2 linked regions of the Caenorhabditis elegans genome follow. The protein of the gene in region 1 purifies or fractionates together with the protein of each later gene. This does not show direct contact. Each region holds a gene or a part of one and is shown on either strand. Other genes may lie near its edges. The genes, in order: ttbk-7 and gba-4.

The links.
Region 2: the proteins of ttbk-7 (region 1) and gba-4 fractionate together in Caenorhabditis elegans (co-fractionation; one large-scale study listed by BioGRID). This does not show direct contact.

Annotation. Positions count from the first base shown.
Region 1 is NC_003283.11:12,890,998-12,899,784, reverse strand, and holds ttbk-7 (Protein kinase domain-containing protein), read left to right. Parts: upstream 1-3,912; 5' UTR 3,913-3,922; coding exon 3,923-3,988; intron 3,989-4,036; coding exon 4,037-4,120; intron 4,121-4,245; coding exon 4,246-4,312; intron 4,313-4,509; coding exon 4,510-4,724; intron 4,725-4,884; coding exon 4,885-5,309; intron 5,310-5,525; coding exon 5,526-5,675; intron 5,676-5,727; coding exon 5,728-5,874; intron 5,875-5,925; coding exon 5,926-6,151; intron 6,152-6,257; coding exon 6,258-6,477; intron 6,478-6,524; coding exon 6,525-6,635; intron 6,636-6,684; coding exon 6,685-6,794; intron 6,795-6,848; coding exon 6,849-7,136; intron 7,137-7,785; coding exon 7,786-8,007; 3' UTR 8,008-8,262; downstream 8,263-8,787.
Region 2 is NC_003282.8:5,346,955-5,355,741, reverse strand, and holds the start of gba-4 (Putative glucosylceramidase 4), read left to right. Parts: upstream 1-4,844; 5' UTR 4,845-4,903; coding exon 4,904-4,970; intron 4,971-6,320; exon of another isoform or gene 6,321-6,393; intron 6,394-6,812; exon of another isoform or gene 6,813-6,833; intron 6,834-7,020; exon of another isoform or gene 7,021-7,041; intron 7,042-7,180; exon of another isoform or gene 7,181-7,201; intron 7,202-7,446; exon of another isoform or gene 7,447-7,467; intron 7,468-7,921; exon of another isoform or gene 7,922-7,942; intron 7,943-8,054; coding exon 8,055-8,237; intron 8,238-8,525; exon of another isoform or gene 8,526-8,534; coding exon 8,535-8,684; intron 8,685-8,729; coding exon 8,730-8,787. Other genes in the region: Y4C6B.1 (WH2 domain-containing protein), read right to left, coding at 1-86, 345-914, 959-1,063, 1,122-1,250; Y4C6B.7 (Activin_recp domain-containing protein), read left to right, coding at 2,336-2,449, 2,703-2,764, 3,446-3,497, 3,545-3,624, 3,838-3,943, 4,159-4,233. UniProt on the Caenorhabditis elegans protein: Glucosylceramidase that catalyzes the hydrolysis of glucosylceramides into free ceramides and glucose. C.elegans contains specific sphingoid bases, which are unique or different in structure compared to the sphingoid bases found in other animals.

The sequences.
Region 1 (8,787 bases):
AGACACGCTTGGCGCTACCAATCCAACTGGCTTCATAGTTTTCCCGCTCGGGAGCACACCTTAATACTCTGTGCTCTGTCGACCTCTGTCTCTGCCAAAATGTAGATGTGTGCACTACTACCTCAACCTCTCAATATCACGTTATCCGTCGATTGTATCGCCATTTGACTGCTAGCAAAAGCTCACATCCCAACTCGTTTCTCATTTTCTTCTTTCTTCAAGTGATTGAACCTATCTCGTCTCTACCTATGACGCATTCATTTTATCGTGAGACTTAACTTTCGATTAATTTCAATTTTTTAGAAATTTCGTAAAGAAAAAAAAACAGTCAGAAAATTTTATTAGTTTCAGTAATTCTTTTTTTCATGGTCTTGTTTTGGCAATAAACAATAAAAGATTACAATGAAATCTTTATTCAAAATTGAACTTTTCTATTGATTTTTTTAAATATTTTTTTTTATGAGAAAGTAAATTAAAATAGGTTACCATTCACACATTTAAATATTTCGATGTTCTCGGAATTTCTAATTAAAAAAAAGCACCCTTCTCGTTTGCAGTTTTCAGTTTTTTTTCCAACATGCTCTAGAATTAGGAATTCACATCGTATTTGGTATGGAGAGGCGAAATTCAAGAAGCGTGAAGGCGAAACCCAATATGTTCTGGCGACTCAACTCTCCCGCCCGGCTGTCAATTTAATTGCTCCATCGGTCGTCGTCTCCCGCATACATATAAGTGTCCTGACGTGTCATCGTCTTCTGCTTTTGCTGCTTCTTCCTCCCATTTTCCTAATCCGGCATATGTAATCCTTCCACTTTCCGTTGCGTCTTTTCCAAAAATGACGAGCATCCTTTTGCTCACTTTGTCCGTTTTTGACGAAAAGACCATCCATTGCACTTTTTCATGCATTTTTCTTTTTTTTGCATTTAATGAGATGTAGCAATCGTTCTTTTTTTTAAGAAAAAAAAGAGATAAGCTTACAGTTTTAGAATCCAAATTACACATGCTTCTCATTTTTCTTTTTAGCCCATCTGAATCATTGCACTTTCTAAATCTAAAACCACATCTCCTGAAAGTTCAATTTGATCAGATAGGAATCTGCTGGGTTTACCGTTTTCCGGAGTGCACTTGGAATGCTCTTTTAATTGCTTGTGGGCTCCATTTTAAGTGCGTGCCTATTCTTATTTTAGATTAATCCATTTTTTTGCTCCAATTTTTGTCATTTATTTCCTCTTTTGAGGAACAATGTCGTGATCGGGGAATATATTAGAAAATTAAAATGAGAAAATTCAAAATGATGACTAAACGGAAAATCTTTAAAATGTTTATTTTATTAGTTTAGAATGCTTACTGAAAATTGGATTTTTCTGATGTTTATCGTTGAAAACAAACTTAAAAAAAAACATAAATATAAATCTGAAAAAAATATAATCTGCAAAATTGTATATAAATTTTTAGCTATAAGAAAATTCTAAAAAATCGAGGCTAAAGTTTGTTCAAAATTCTTTTGAAAAGTTAAAATAATTTTTTAGAAACAAAAAGAACCAGAAGATTTTTAAAAGTCTTTTGTTGGGATTTTCAGGAAAGACATGTGACCTTGAAAACTTCCTTTTCTTGATATCAATTTCATGCAAAAAAACGAATTTCTATGTACTTATTTTCCTGCCAATTTGTTTCGTTTGTCTGAATGTTTTTTATTTGAAAAAATTCTTCCGTTAGTTTTCAAAACTCTGAACAATATACAAAGGTGCGTATGTTTCTCCCAAAATCAGTTTATTTCTTCTCCTTCAAAAGTCTAATATTTGCATGACTATTTTGGTTTTTTTCTTTTCATTGCAATATATATATATATAGTTCCTTCTTTCAACTATATTTTGTTCAATATTGTCAGCTGAAATCCAAAATAATCAGGCAACAAACTCATTACTTTTGCCTCTTCTTCCGCTTTCCTCAGGAGGTCTTGAGCAAAAAAGAAAACAAGCTTGTCAATTGTGATAAATGCTCGTTTTTTTCTGGTTCTTACTCCCTGTTGTTTTAACTCTGAAAATTGCTTGACTCTAATCCCTGCGCCTCTTTTAATCCTTTTCTCATTTTCCGGCATTTCGCAACCTTCAACTTTATGTCATTCTCTCTCTTTAGTTCCGATGCCCATCGGATCTTTATCTTCTGATTATATTGTCCTCCCCCTATTTTCCGATGGATTCGTTCCGCTCTCAATTATCCTGACCCGTGTTTCCCGTTCACTTACGGCCGAATAGCTGGTCCCCTTAATGCACTTTACACCCCTCTTTTCTCTATTTTCTACGCACTCTTTTCCTATTTTCTTGTCACCCTTCTTTTGGTTCATATATTCAAACAAAACCCGGGGACCCTCTATTCCACTCATTCTCTCCCGGTTAAGTCCCGTATGTCTCTCTGTCTCTCATTTACTTTACCAATGTTATTTATTCATGGTCATCCAAACAAAACGGCCGGTTCTTCGGGTCCTTTTTACGTAGAATAGCACTCTATAGCCTTCTATATTCAACTTTTCACCATCATCATCATCATCAATGACCATTTATTAAAGAAGTATTTTTAGATTTCTCACCTTTTCTTCCATTTTCGAATCTATTTGCATCTCTGCACCTTGTGCACCACATCCTCCCTCTAATCGTGGGAGTTTTCAGTATTTTAGTCCTTGTGCCACGTCAATCAAGATAGGGAAAAGAGCAGGCGGCTCACGGGAGCTTCTAGCTCAACAATCCGGGAGAATAAATGTCAGCTGTTCCTGGACGCGGGCATTTCTCTTTCTCGAGATTTGTCCCGACAGGGGGGGGGGAGGCTATCGATTTCGTTTTTATATTTATATCGTTTTGTTCATTTCTTCCGATGACATTCAAGAGAATAAAAACAAGAAATTGAATGTGATGATCGGAAAACAAATGTTTAATAATTTTCTGAATACTTTTAGCAGTTAGTAAATTGTTTTAAATTTACTTTCTTGATTTTCTCTCGAATTTTCACGATTTTTGTTTCATGGACAGTTCGTGGAAGTTATCTGCATTTGGCGCTAGCTTCTTGCCCAAATTTGGCTTGAAAAAAACTGGGCCAAAAAAGAAAAAACTTAGCGCTTTATTCCGGAATTATTAAACTTTATTAGGCTTTTTCAAAACATTGCCGAAATGTGGACAAGAACTTTGTATCAGAAACTAATTCCTTTTTTTTCTGTCTGTTTGTGGAAATTATTTTGTTTTCAAATATTTCGACGGCTCTTAGATTTCCATTTCCGTAATGTTTTACTTTAGAATTTTATTTCGTAAAATACTTTAAATAACCCCCATATGGTAATTTCTGGCAACTTAACTTGACAAATCGTGAGCGTATAAATCAAATAAGCTTTTGCTTGGTGCCACATACATAGTGCCCTCTATTTACCCGACTCACTTCCAAAATGGGAAGAATGCGTTTTTAAATGGAAGAAAGTAGTAGGTGACACGTCGGCAATGCGCGGCGAGATTTATGAGCCCCATCGGACATCTCTTCCTTCTTTCTTCGAAGATTTTCCAAAGCTCTTCCAAGGTTGCCTCTCTTGATACTTTTTCGGCTGGTCATTTTGAAGAAGGCGCTCCTTTTTCTTTGTGTGTGCTGCTCCCACAGCTTCTCCATGTCTACCCCCAACCATTTTAGAGAATATATTTGGTGCATTTGTCACTTTTCCCTCCTACCGCCTTCTTTCTTCGTCCAGCTTCATCTTTTCTTGCGCCCCATCTGTTTTCCATTCGACTTTTCTCATCTCTTCACGAAATATGCCATTCTCATCAACCACTTCCCCATTCGTTTTGCTTTTTTCTTATTGCGGTCCGATAGCCGTTTCATCGTTCAAAGATTCTCTTTTTCATTTATTTTTCTTATTTATTGAATTTAAATTTTCAGAGATGAAATAATGACATCATCATCAGAAGGAGAAATTCTTCAAGTTGGACAGGTCATCAGAGAACGATGGAAAATAGTGAGTTTCTATGTTTCAAGCTACGGAAACTAAAAGTTTTGGTTTCAGAAAGCGAAAATCGGTGGTGGTGGATTTGGGGAAATCTACGAAGCAACAGATGTTCAAAATCACCATGAACGGGTAGCGATCAAGGTATTTTTAGGATGTTTTTTTGAGAGAAATGTCTGCTTTTTTAATAGAAATACCCTAATTTTCCTGCACATGTATTAAATTTCTTTAAATTTTGAAAACCATTTTTTTTATCAATTCATTTTCAGGTCGAATCAAGCAAAGCAACAAAGCAAGTGCTCAAAATGGAGGTCGCAGTTCTTCGACGACTTCAAGGTTTGTTGGCTGTTTATGACGTATTTCGCTTTTTTTTTCCTAGTTTTTTTTTCAAGCCGTCATCAAAAATCTAATTACGCCTGTCTCGTTGGCATCTTAGCATCTCGTTTCTGAGAAATATTGAAAGAAACGGAAAATGAGAAAACAAAATCGTTTTACACAATAAAAACCTGTGATATAAAACCTCCTTGTTTCAGGAAAAAAACACGCGTGTAAATTCTACGGGTGCGGACGAAACGATAAATTCAATTATTTGGTAATGAGTCTGCAAGGAAAAAATCTGGCTGATTTGAGAAGAGAAGCACCGAAACAGTGCTTTAATTTGAGTACAGCAGTTCGTGTTGGAATACAGATTTTGAATGGAATTCGAGAAATTCATTCAATTGGATTCTTGCACAGAGATGTGAAACCAGTAAGTTAAAGTTTGAAGTTTTTTTGAAAAAAAAACAATTGAGAAATTGATTTTGCAAAAACTATTATCTTAAGGCCTAATGAAATTTTAGTCAAAATTATTTTTAAAAAATAGATGTCTGAAATAAATAAATATTAATCTGTAAATTAATCATTTTCAGTCCAACTTTGCAATGGGACGCACATCACAAACAATGCGAAACGTGTATATGCTTGACTTCGGTCTCGCTCGTCAATATCTGAATGCAAAAGGAGAAATCAGAAGTCCTCGAAGTGCAGCTGGATTCCGTGGAACAGTTCGATATGCAGCAGTAACTGCTCATAAAAATAAAGAAATGGGAAGACAAGACGATCTTTGGTCTCTTTTTTATATGCTCACTGAGTTCTTACAAGGACAATTACCATGGCGAAAGATTAAGGACAAGGATGAAGTGGGAAAAATGAAGGAAGAAGCCGATTTGGTTGTTCTTCTAGATGATTGCCCACATGAAATGCATCTTTTTGTTGCACATTTGAAAGTTTTAGGATATGCAGATACGCCTGATTATGTATACTTGGAATCACTTCTTAATAAGATTGTCGCTGAGTGAGTTTTTGAAAATATACAGTTGACTTCCATAAAAATCGTTGAAAATTTTGATTCGATGTAAAGTACCGTTTTTTAGTCACAAAAATTGATGCCTTTAAGGCGACCTACGCTTTCCCAATGCGTGCTTACTGCCTTTTAAAATGTTTTAGATGACCCCATATTATAGCAGATGCACTTATTGTCATAATAAACTCTTAAAATGTATTTTTCTAGAAATGAGATCAGTTGGGACGAACCGTACGACTGGGAATTAGGATACGACAACATGGCGACACGGCAAAAACAACAGGCGAATGGGAATTTGTCTGCTAGGCTGAAATCCCATACGACTGCAGTCATCAAAGATCAACGAAACGAGAATAGGTAGATTTTTTGAATTCAAAGAATACTTCCATTCATTACTCCTGAGTTTCAGAGCTCTCGATACTCAGGCTCCAATCACAATGGGTGAGGACGAAGACGAACAAACGAATGGTCAAATGGCTAATCTTGGGGCGGGGTTCGAAAGTACACACGAAAAAGCGGCGGAGAAACCAAAATACAAAAGACACGAATTCCTAAAGTAATTTACTCAAATTCATATAGAACATTGAGAAAAAAAACCAATTTTCAGACCTAAATACGGAACTGTCAATTTGGATGTTATCGACGCAGTAAACGCCAGATTTGCGGCATGTGACGATGAAAAATATCGAGGTGGAACAGCGGATGTTGAAGCAAACTTCCAACTTCCATCTTCAATTCTGAAAGCACAACCACAAGTTGCTGAATCATCACTTTCTATCAAAAGAGTTGCCGGTTTACCTGTGGATAAAACCAGAAGCAATAAATCAATAACAGTGAGTCTTGGAAATATTTTGAACGTAGTTTTGACATTTCATAAAACAAATTTATAAAGATGAAAAGTATAATTAAAGTATACTACATTTCAAATCTAATTTCCAGCTGTCCATAAACAATCGATATAAATCTGGTGCAAAAACCAACAAGATCTCATCGTTCGATAACACAAATGCTCAAATGGATGAAAACTCTGCAAATAATGTAAGGACACAACAGACGTTAATGAGTAAATGGCAAGGATCATTTGATGCAAGTTGCGAAGAAATGATGGATGGTGGAGATGCAGAAGATCGGGGACATGGGAGGCTAAATCCTGCATTCCGTAAGTTATTATTAAAACCCTTGAAACTATAGTTTCAAAATGTTCAGCTGTACCAAAAGCATCTCTACTATCAACTCCAAGATCAATGGATTCAAATACATCACCTGGAGGAAATTCACCATCATCTCCAATGAACCCAAGAGCATCTCCAATTCAACGTATGTTATTATATTTTTGAATCCAAGAATCATATTTAAAATATTTTAGAACGCCGGTTATCAAGATCTGAAAAAGATAGAAGTGGAATACACAGGACAGCAAGTTGTGGAGCACCTCAATCAAATAGTATTATTAGTCACTTTAAAGGATTAATAAATGTAAGTATCCATTTTTCAAACTTAACAATCCTAATAAATTTTTGAAAAATTTAGTCATTTAACAATCTTGGAGTCGGTAGTCGATTATCAAGGACAACCTCGATTGATGAGACTGCGAATCGACAAAATACTGCCCCAGTACCTGCTCATCAATACCAAATGAATCATCGAAATGAGGATAATAGTTATGGAATGAGGCATTCAACATCAATGGGAGTTCACAATAATAGTCAGAATACTCAACGGATTAGTGCAACTTTCAATGCATTTGAATCACCTGAAGAACGAGAACGGAGACGAGAACGGAGGATGAGAAGGAGAAGTGTTGAGAGCAATGGAAGGGTGAGTTTTTTTGAGCAATAAGTACTAAGATACACTTTTTGAACATTCATGTTTTGCAATTTTTGGAAGGATTTTGAAAATCTAACAGCATTGAAAAAAATCGAAACTTTAAAAATAGAAAATGGAAAAAAAACATTTTAAAATTTTCGTTTAATTTTCGTTTTTTTTTGTGCCCAGTTTCATTAAAGTTCGAATTTTCCAAAATATCCAGTGCTAATGCCAATTGAATTCGATTTCTTTGAAAAGTTCCATCGATTTTGAAACATTCCGTTCTTTTCTGGATACACTTTTGTAAACTTAAAAACCATTCAATAACTTTAAAAAAAATTTTCATCACTGTTAAAAATTCCAAAAAAAAAACTTTTATAGCTCCAAACGCATGTTGATTGAAAAATACCGCTGTCACAACAAGGAGAAGTTTTTAAACACTTTTTAAAATGCCAGAAAATTTCAAGACTGAAAATTATTACTTTAAAATGTTTTGATGTTTTTTAGAGCTCAATTTTTCAAATTTTGCAAATTTTGAAATGTTTTCAAAAAGCAGGAATGTAAACAGTTAGTGCAAGAAAACATGCAAATTTTCATAAATATTTCATTTACTTTTTCATCAGATTTCATTCTTAGAAATTTGAAACTAAATATTTTTCAGGTTGAACTCGAGACTCCACCTCCATCAGTTCGTTCTCCAGTTGTTGTCAATAAGTCATCTGTTGTACATGCTCCTGCAAGTTCTCCTCCTGTCAAAATTCGTGATAACGGAATTGATGAAGAATTCCGAATTCCACTTGAAGAAAACAACAAACCACTTCTGTTTTATAAACGAAAACGATATCAATTTTTAAATTTCCCAAGAACTTCATCTAAATCATAGCCATAACCAGGTCTCTTTTTCTTTCAATTATTTTTGTCCCTGTCCTCTCTTTCTCTCTTTCTTCTTGTCAACCAAAGCACTGTTATGACATTTTCTAGTCGAAACCTATCTTGTCCAAAAGCCTTTTTTCTTTTTTGTCTCATAAATATAATTAACAAAAAAAACATAATTTGAAATCTTTGGTATATGAACAAAACTTTCATTCTCTCTTTCTGTGCCATTCGGTTACGGTAATTCGCAATAAAAATATTGATCAAATCTTCAATTTTTCGTTGTCTTGCTGAGTTTCTCAACTAAGTAACAGTTCTTCTCCCAACAATTAGAAGTAAAATGATGGTGCGTAATCAAACTATTACAGTGAGCCCAGAACATTTGCCCCGCCTCTTTAAAAACCTGAAATGCACCTTTTTAACGATTGGATAAATCAAGAAAAATGTTTATTACTTCTGAATCACAATGCTCTTACAAAACTTCAACATTCATATAATCAATTATTTCCAATTTTCAAACATGAGGTGGAATTTAAAGTGCGCCAAGTGTTTGGAAAAGGGCTTTTGAAAAGACCACGACTAATTCTATAAATTTCGAATTAAACTCTAATTTTTAATTAAATAAAATTGAAATGTCTATCTACTGACTGAAGCTTTTTCACCATTTTATATTATATTTTTTACATTTTTAGAGGAGAACATATTTTTCTCGTCGAACCTTTCTGTAGAACTTTGAAAATTTTGCCGAGTGAGACCAAAAATAAACAAATTGGTGCAATTTAATAAAGAC
Region 2 (8,787 bases), on another chromosome or scaffold:
GAAGATGGTGAGCAGACTGATGGACCTTTTCCTTCATCTTCAGATACGTCTGACGAGGAGTTGGAGGAGATTTCGAGAGAAGCTTTCTGAAATGAAAAAAAGTAGGCATATATTGGAAAACCTTTAAACTTTTTTTGTGATTTATCTGAATCCTTGCTATATTAGACCCAAAACTACTAAATGTCGAAACGAGACTTTCTGAAAATTGCTCGAAAAAAAGTTATGGCATTTTTTTAAATTCTTGGAAAAGTCTCTCTTTTTCCTAAATGTTTAAACCGCCAAAAAAAAAACCTTTTTCGGTCATTTTGGGTCTAAGACACAACTTTTTAAATAAAACTATTCACTTTTGCAATTATTCCGCCTCTTCTAGAACTCGCTCTGGATGATGCTCTTTTTGTCTCAACTCCACTCTTCTGAAGGCACATTAGCTGCTTCGAAAGCATTGCCAATTGATTTTGAATTGCCGCCATTTGATCTTCAGTTGTCAATGCAGTAACTCCAGTTCGAGTACTTGGCATACTCAATCTATCCTCATCATCATCATCAAACGTCATTGACATTGGAACATTCATTTTTCTGAATTCACAGAAAGCATCTTCATCTTCATCGAACATCGGCTTCTGCCTTTCAGGAAGACATTCCCATTTCTCTGAGCGACGTTGAATAACTCCATCTTCTAAATCATCAGTGAGCAATATTTCTTCCATGTCGTTCAGTGTGTATCTTGGCATTTTGTACGTGATATTCTGGTCGCAGAGCTCATTCAGAATCACTTTCGCATCTTTTTTATATTCTAGCATGTTTCGAGAACTTATTGATTTCGAGAAAATACGAATGAGAATTGCACGAATTTGAACGGCTCCATCACCAAAGAAATTACGCATTCGTTGCCCATTTTCGCGTAGACGATGCCGCTGAAACAATAATTCATTTGAAAGAATGTTAAGATCAAGCATACCACCACTTCCAGTTCATCCATAACGATTTGCATGAGAATTTCGATTCCAGAAGTTGTGTTTACGACGGCAAGCTCATTGTGAAGACGTTGACGTGCAATGGCCAGCTGAAAATTAAAATTGTATGTACAGTTTTTAATTTTCAGATTTATTTTAAAGACTCACATCTTGTAACGTTGTCTGATTTCCTTCTTCCTTTATCTCTTCACCTTCGAAAATAGTCTTCTTGCTCTGTGGACCCGTCACAAATATCGTTGCTCGTCGTTTTTGCTTCTTTGACGGTGTGTCTGACATTTTTCTGAAAATTTGAAGAATAAAATTGAGGAAGACATTGATTTATTATATTTAAATGAGGAAAAGACATCAAAAAAGAGAAAATTAGCTGAAATTAAGAGAGAAAAAGAAAAAGCTGAAGAAAATGGGATTTCCATTTGAAATCCCCGCGATGTGCGATGGGGCGCGATTGCACCAATCTACCGTACACCTTTTTTCAAGCATTTTTCAAGAAAACGTCTGCAAGAATAGACGTTTTGGGCTAATTTGAAAAAGAAAAAAACTAATAATAACCAAAGAAACCCACCAAACTATTTACATAGTCCAGGTGGAGTACACCACAGAGGGTGTGAGAGAGAGGCAGGTGTTCGTTGCGAGACCCACTGCTAGGGGAAGAGGGCACATAAATTTTATGATGGCCATTGAATTGACAACCGATTCGGGGTAATTTAATGCACCCTGCTGGGTACGCAATAGATATGATATTGCTTTTAAAGACATGGGAACATATTCCTGAAAAGATATCGCGATTCGCAATTTCAAGATTTCTGTGGAATGTCTTTCGGAGTTTCTTGTTATAAATATACTTTTTCAAGTAAAAAAACAAATTGGAAACTGTAGAAAGCCTTGTTTAAACTACTTCCCTCGGATTTCAGATGACGATCCAGAAGAATGAAGTAAAAAGTCAATGGCCGAGGTCTGGCTTTTTTCTAGGCCACATCAAAAATGAAGTCACGTTGAAAAATTCTAGGCGAGACCCATAAATAACGATATATTCTGTTAACCTGGAGATTGCAGAAAAGAAGCCATTTATAAAAATCCTTGTCAAAGCTAGAAAAAAATTACTGTTTCTCGATCATCTCATTATAAGGTGTGGTACAATTTCCCCAATAATTGTTTCATGAAGTTTAACCAAAGTTAGTTTTTATTTTCAATGAGTAATGTTCTTCAGAACTCTTAAATTCCACTTTTTCTTGTCAATTCTCAAAAACAAACACACAACCAACAGAATGTTCATTTATCACATCTGTTTTGTGTAACATTTTTATTTTTCGTTTTCTCGTCTTGATCTCTCCCCATAACAAACATCTCTCAGTCTCGAAACTATGACAGCAAAAATAGGTTTTCTACTAATTTTAGCTGTTATTTCTACAGTTTCTGCTCTCCGATGCTTTGAAGGAACCGTCGCATTGGATAGCAATGATCAGACTTCAAAAAAGGTATTTAAATTTTATTTACAAATATTAATATTTAAAAAATGTGTATATTTCCCATACGCGAAACTTTGTTTTTTTTTTGCGGCAGAAAATACGGTACCAGGTCTCACCGCGACAAATTTTTGTTTAATAAATGCTAATGAAGAGTACGAGTTTCAAAAAGCGGTGAAACTCAGTTTCAATTTAATTTTTAACTAATACTAGATGAAATACAAAAATTTCCAACGAATTAAAAAGTTTTAAAAAAATCTTGCAGGAGTGCGGAGGAATGTCGAATTATTGTATTCAACGTATCGATAAGAAAACTAAAGAAATGAGGTAAAAGAGCTAATGTCTATTTGTTTCATGGTCAGTCATGGCTTCTCCCTCGTTTATTTGTGTAATCCTTTTGCGGACAGTTCTCGAAGAGAGCTTGATTATTTGCTCAAATCATTCAAATCATAATAGGCGCTTCCGTCTTTTACGTAATTTTACGTCATTGTGAGGAAAAGCTCATATCTTTTGAGATTTATGATAGCTGCTGTTTCCAAAAAAGGTGTGTAAAAATTATATTTACAAAGAAAATGTAAAGCGACTAAAAGTGAAAACTCGGCTGCTCTTTTCTTTCAGGCAAAGTTGCAAAAACTTAGAATTGTGTATTCTGGTAATTTCTAGCCCATTGTCAACCTATCGACCGAAAGAATGTAATTAGTCAAACATGGTGAAATATATCTTCTAGTTGAAACTGTAAATCAAAAAGTGACATGTAAGCTCATTTTTGTGTGTAACTTTTAAAAAATCTCTCTGAGATCCAAGCTTATTAATAGTAAAACAAAATTAAAGTGAATTCTTAATTTCTAATCAGAAACAGTAAAACAGAAACAATGAAATTTTTCTTGATTTCCTTTAACTCAAATAATAAAAATTTTTCTGTTTCACATGTTCTTTAAAACTCATTCAATTTAATTGTTTAACATTACATGCTTAACATTACGCCCAAGAATAATAATAATTTTGCAGACGTGAATGCAGTTCGTGGAGCGATGAGCACAGTATGGAGGAGAAATGTCCGGTTGGTTCATTTTTTTCTGAGCATCAGACAATTTATATCAATTTTAGATGACCGGATGCCATTTCCAAACCAAAGATTCCACTTTTTGTTGCTGCCAGTTTGATGAGTGTAACGAGTGGAAGGGAGAGTAAGTTACTTTTTTTTGTGAAACTTTTTTGAAATAGGAAATACGAAAATTTTAGGTACGAAATACTTACAAGAATTTTTAAATAGATTCCAAAGAAAAAAAGAAAAAAATATATAAAGATTCATTACACATTTTTAGAAAAAAAGTTGAATCGAAAAATCTTAAAGCAGACTTCATCTATATATTGGCTATTTTTAAAACAATTTTTTTCAGCGGAACCGAGTTCAAAGCCGGAGAAACTAGCTCAAAATCGAAAGCTGTTCCAAGTGCTCCAAAACTCGGTGACGTCATCATGCCAACTGCAGCAACCCGTAAGAATGTTCGTGTGCATTGAAATTGCTTTATAGGATGAGATCAATTTTCTAATGAAATTTGAAAATCAAGTAAAACTTGTGAAACAGTAATTTTTTCAAGTGACTAAAACAATTGCTTGCTGATTTGAACCAAAATGCTGAACTATTATGGTTCAGTTGAAATTTTAGTTTTCAAATTATTTAAATAACACTAAAATTACAGCAAAATTTAAACTTTCAGAAAAGTGAAGACATCGTTCAAATTCCAACTACTGTCGCTCCAACCAGGAAGAGCAGTTTTGTCGAGCTTCCTTGATTTCTTAATAAAAAATTTATTATTTTTCTAATGGTTTAAAATTTTCCCTAACTGATTAGTTCATTTTGCATGAAATAAATGTTCAAAATAAAAAAAAAGCCTTTTAACAAAGTTTTCAAAAAATAATAAAATTTACAGAAGCATCAAAACGGTTCGTTCCAACTCGTACTTCTTCTATAATTGAAATCTCATTAAATTGTGCAAGTTTTTTTTTTATGAAACGACAGTAAAAAGCATACCATGAGAGTGTTATTACATTAATTTTTCCCACGTAATTAAATTTAAACACTGAAACGGTAAAATTTTTTGAACCTGCTAATAATATGTTAAAGTTCCAATTTCTTTATTGTTTTCAGATCACTATAGGTGACAACATGTAGCTCACTCACGCTCATACCACGAACTTTATCATACCATGATTTGTCCATTGCCCCCGTCATTATCTATATATGTCCTGCATAGTTAGCAGCCTGAAACCAATAATTTATGTGTTTTCCCTTCTTTTTTCCATAATTTCTTATCAGTTTCAATTATTTTTTGATCAGAATATTCCAACTGATTAGTCTTTATAAAAACGTGGTCAGTGTCTTCAAATATTGTTCTTATCATTTATTCATTAGTAGTCTTGGAAAGTGTCCGGTTTTAACGGAATACACTAGACTAGGCTATCATGATTTTGAATATATCCGTTTCTTTGCTAATATTTCTGGCGTTTTATGGATTTTCAAGCGATGCAAGTGAGTAGTAGAAGTGCCTGGAAGTGTTTAGAAAAGTTCTAAAAAAATATTACTGTTTCTCACTAGGGAGTGCTTTCACTATACGGTGCGATCGAGTAAAAGTAAACGTGTTATGCGATAGCTGGCATCTTAGGCTTTCAGAATCTGTAATTTGTTTCGGCGGAAGACCTCTGTGAGTCTGGAAATTTTCATCTGAAAATGTAGTACTGAAATCAGTTCATTTCCTATGGTTAACAGTGGATTTTGTCTCTGGCGCCAACAGAAGTCTCACCACAATGGTGGAAGGGCGAAATCATCGCTTCGGTGGTCGAGTGGTGAACGCGTTCGCCTCTTGAGCAGAAGTTTGTCGGTTCGGTTCCCACACATGGTTTAAATTTTGGGTTCTTTTATACAAAATTTTTAGAACGGGAAACAAATGTTTAAAACAGTTTTTTGAGGTTTTTACATTACTTTTTTGCTTTTTGATTGAACCACAATTACCCTGGAAACTTTTCAGAAATTTTTATTTTTTTCGAAAATTGCCACTTTTTTCTCCCATGAGAAAATTGGTTCCAAAAATTTTGTTTGAAATTTTTTCAAAAATGTATGAAATATTGTAGAGTGTCACGAATAACTTATTTTTCATTGTTTTCAATGACCGAATCACTGATTCTGATGCCGTATCAAGACGTTTTACCAAATCGATATTGGCAAAACATCTTGTTTTTGAGGCTCCATATCTCTGCAGAAAAAATCGCACTAAAAAGTGATCAACTAGAAACTTGTTAAACACAATGTGATCTAAAACTTTTCAGTTGAACACTTTTTTGTAAAAAATTTGGTTCCCAAGATATAGACCTTTAACTATTTAGAATATTCAAAAATAATGACGCTCAAATCAATTGGTTCCAACCTGGCAACCAAATTTTTTACAAAAAAGTGTTCAACTGAAAAGTTTTAGATCACATTGTGTTTAACAAGTTTCTAGTTGATCACTTTTAGTGCGATTTTTTTCTGCAGAGATATGGAGCCTCAAAAACAAGATGTTTTGCCAATATCGATTTGGTAAAACGTCTTGATACGGCATCAGAATCAGTGATTCGGTCATTGAAAACAATGAAAAATAAGTTATTCGTGACACTCTACAATATTTCATACATTTTTGAAAAAATTTCAAACAAAATTTTTGGAACCAATTTTCTCATGGGAGAAAAAAGTGGCAATTTTCGAAAAAAATAAAAATTTCTGAAAAGTTTCCAGGGTAATTGTGGTTCAATCAAAAAGCAAAAAAGTAATGTAAAAACCTCAAAAAACTGTTTTAAACATTTGTTTCCCGTTCTAAAAATTTTGTATAAAAAAGGCCAAAATTTAAACCATGTGTGGGAACCGAACCCACAAACTTCTGCTCAAGAGGCGAACGCGTTCACCACTCGACCACCGAAGCGATGATTTCGCCCTTCCACCATTGTGGTGAGACTTCTGTTGGCGCCAGAGACAAAATCCACTGTTAACCATAGGAAATGAACTGATTTCAGTACTACATTTTCAGATGAAAATTTCCAGACTCACAGAGGTCTTCCGCCGAAACAAATTACAGATTCTGAAAGCCTAAGATGCCAGCTATCGCATAACACGTTTACTTTTACTCGATCGCACCGTATAGTGAAAGCACTCCCTAGTCAGTTATGATATGACAAATTGTCATATCATGACTGAGAAACAGTAATACTGGAACTGAATTCAATGGAACTGAATTCTCAATAATCATTTAATAACTTCTATTTAAAAAAATTTAAAAATTCCCATTGAAAAATATTGCCGTTTCCGAGGTATAATATTTGAGTTAGTATTTGTATTACTTAATTCGTGCAATTCGAACAAATCTTTTTTTAAACAAAATGTGGAAATTGTGGAAAGTTGATACAGAAGTTTTACAAATTAAAAATACAAATTAAAACAAATATCGAGCATGAAAAATGCATTTGAAGCTACAACTTTTTAATATTTATTTTCACAAAAAAAACTCTGTTCCAACATGATCTGTTAAAATCCCACACTTTTATGATTCTGTTGCGAACAAGAAAATGTATTAGATATAACTGTCCTCAAATGCGTTTATAAAATTTCAATAAATGCGAACCAAATGTGACTAAAACGGACAAATCTGGACTTTTGCACTCAGAAATCGATTAAATTAAGACCCTAATTCTTAGTTCGGATTCGTCAGTTTTGCTACATCTAAATTGGATTCAACGATAACAATATTTTTTGAAGACTTCTAAAGATTATGTGAAACGGTATTTAAAAAAAAATTTGTCATTTCAAAAATCATTGTAGACATCAATCTTAACATAATTGCCAACATGAAAAGTTTCTACTGCTCCGAGGTAAAAAAAAGTAAAAAAAGAAAAAATTCATAACTTTTTGTTGTTATCCCAATAAAAAATTACTGTTTCTGTGTTATAATATGAGTTTTGGATTGGTATTGAATTGATAATAGTATCTTTTTTCAATATTTGAGCAATGATTTCATTACGCTTATACACATATGTATCAGATTTTTTCAAATTGTCAAACATTTGAATTATCAGAGTTTACAATTAACAAACCTTAATTAATAGATAACAGATAACAGTTATAATTTTTTTTAGGAAAATAACTCAGTTTCAATCTGCTAAATGCAAAATTTAATATTTTTCTAATCGTAACTATTTTTCTTCAAAATTAATTTTCGTATCCTTTAATCTAAATGGGCAGCAGACTGTAAAAAAATTATTTTAGAAACTTTTTTAGAAAAAATGCTTTAAAAAAAGCTTTTTCATAATTGCATATGCAAGACTAATAGAAGAAATACGGTAATTAATGTATTGTATTCATTGCTTGCAATGTGCAGGCAAAACATGGATAAAACAGTTTTAAAAAATTCCGTTTCAACAAATTTATTTATGAAATGTAAAATTTGAAATATGTATTTCGTATGGTAAAAATTTTCATAACCACAATTTACAGAACTGGAAATAGCTTTAGACATTTTCTAAACACGTAGTCCTGCACAATTTCCAAAACCATTCCAACTAACTAAACACAACTGAAGCCAATTTCCAGAGTCCCTTCCTTGCTCCGAAGTGAAGAAAGAGTATGGAATAGTTTGTCGTTGCAATGCCACGTATTGTGATACAATTGAACCACTTGGAACTGTTACTTCTGGGAAAGCAGTTGTCTATACAACATCAAGAAATGGAAAAAGAATGAACAGAAGTGAATTGAAGCATACAACTTCTTCTACAGGTACGTTAATTGTATAGGAAGTTCCATGAAGGCACAGAATTCTTGCCTGCATTCCTGTCTGCCTGCCTCCAGAATACACCGGAAGCTTATCAGTAACTTCTGGTTCGAAACTGATGCAAAATAGGCGGTAGGCAGGCTCTTAGATAGAGAGGCAGGCACCGCTCAACTAACACAAAAACCTTTATAATATTAGAATTTAGAGAATGATATTTTTTTATTTTGAAGTTGGCAAAAAATTATTCTACTGTTTCACAATTATTTTGTAACAATTGTTGATATGATACATCGTTTTTGTAGCCAAAACAAAAGTATATGTGAACACAACTCAAAGTTTTCAACCGGTAATGGGATTTGGAGCTGCATTCACTGATGCTGCTGGAATTAATATGAAGATGCTGCCACAGACAATGCAAGATCAAATTATTCAGCAATACTTTTCCGATGATGGTAAGTTATTTTCAAAAGATTAAGCTTGAAAAATAAATAATTTAGGTCTCGGGTATGTTTTTGGACGAGTTCCAATGGCTTCAACTGACTTTTCAACTCACGA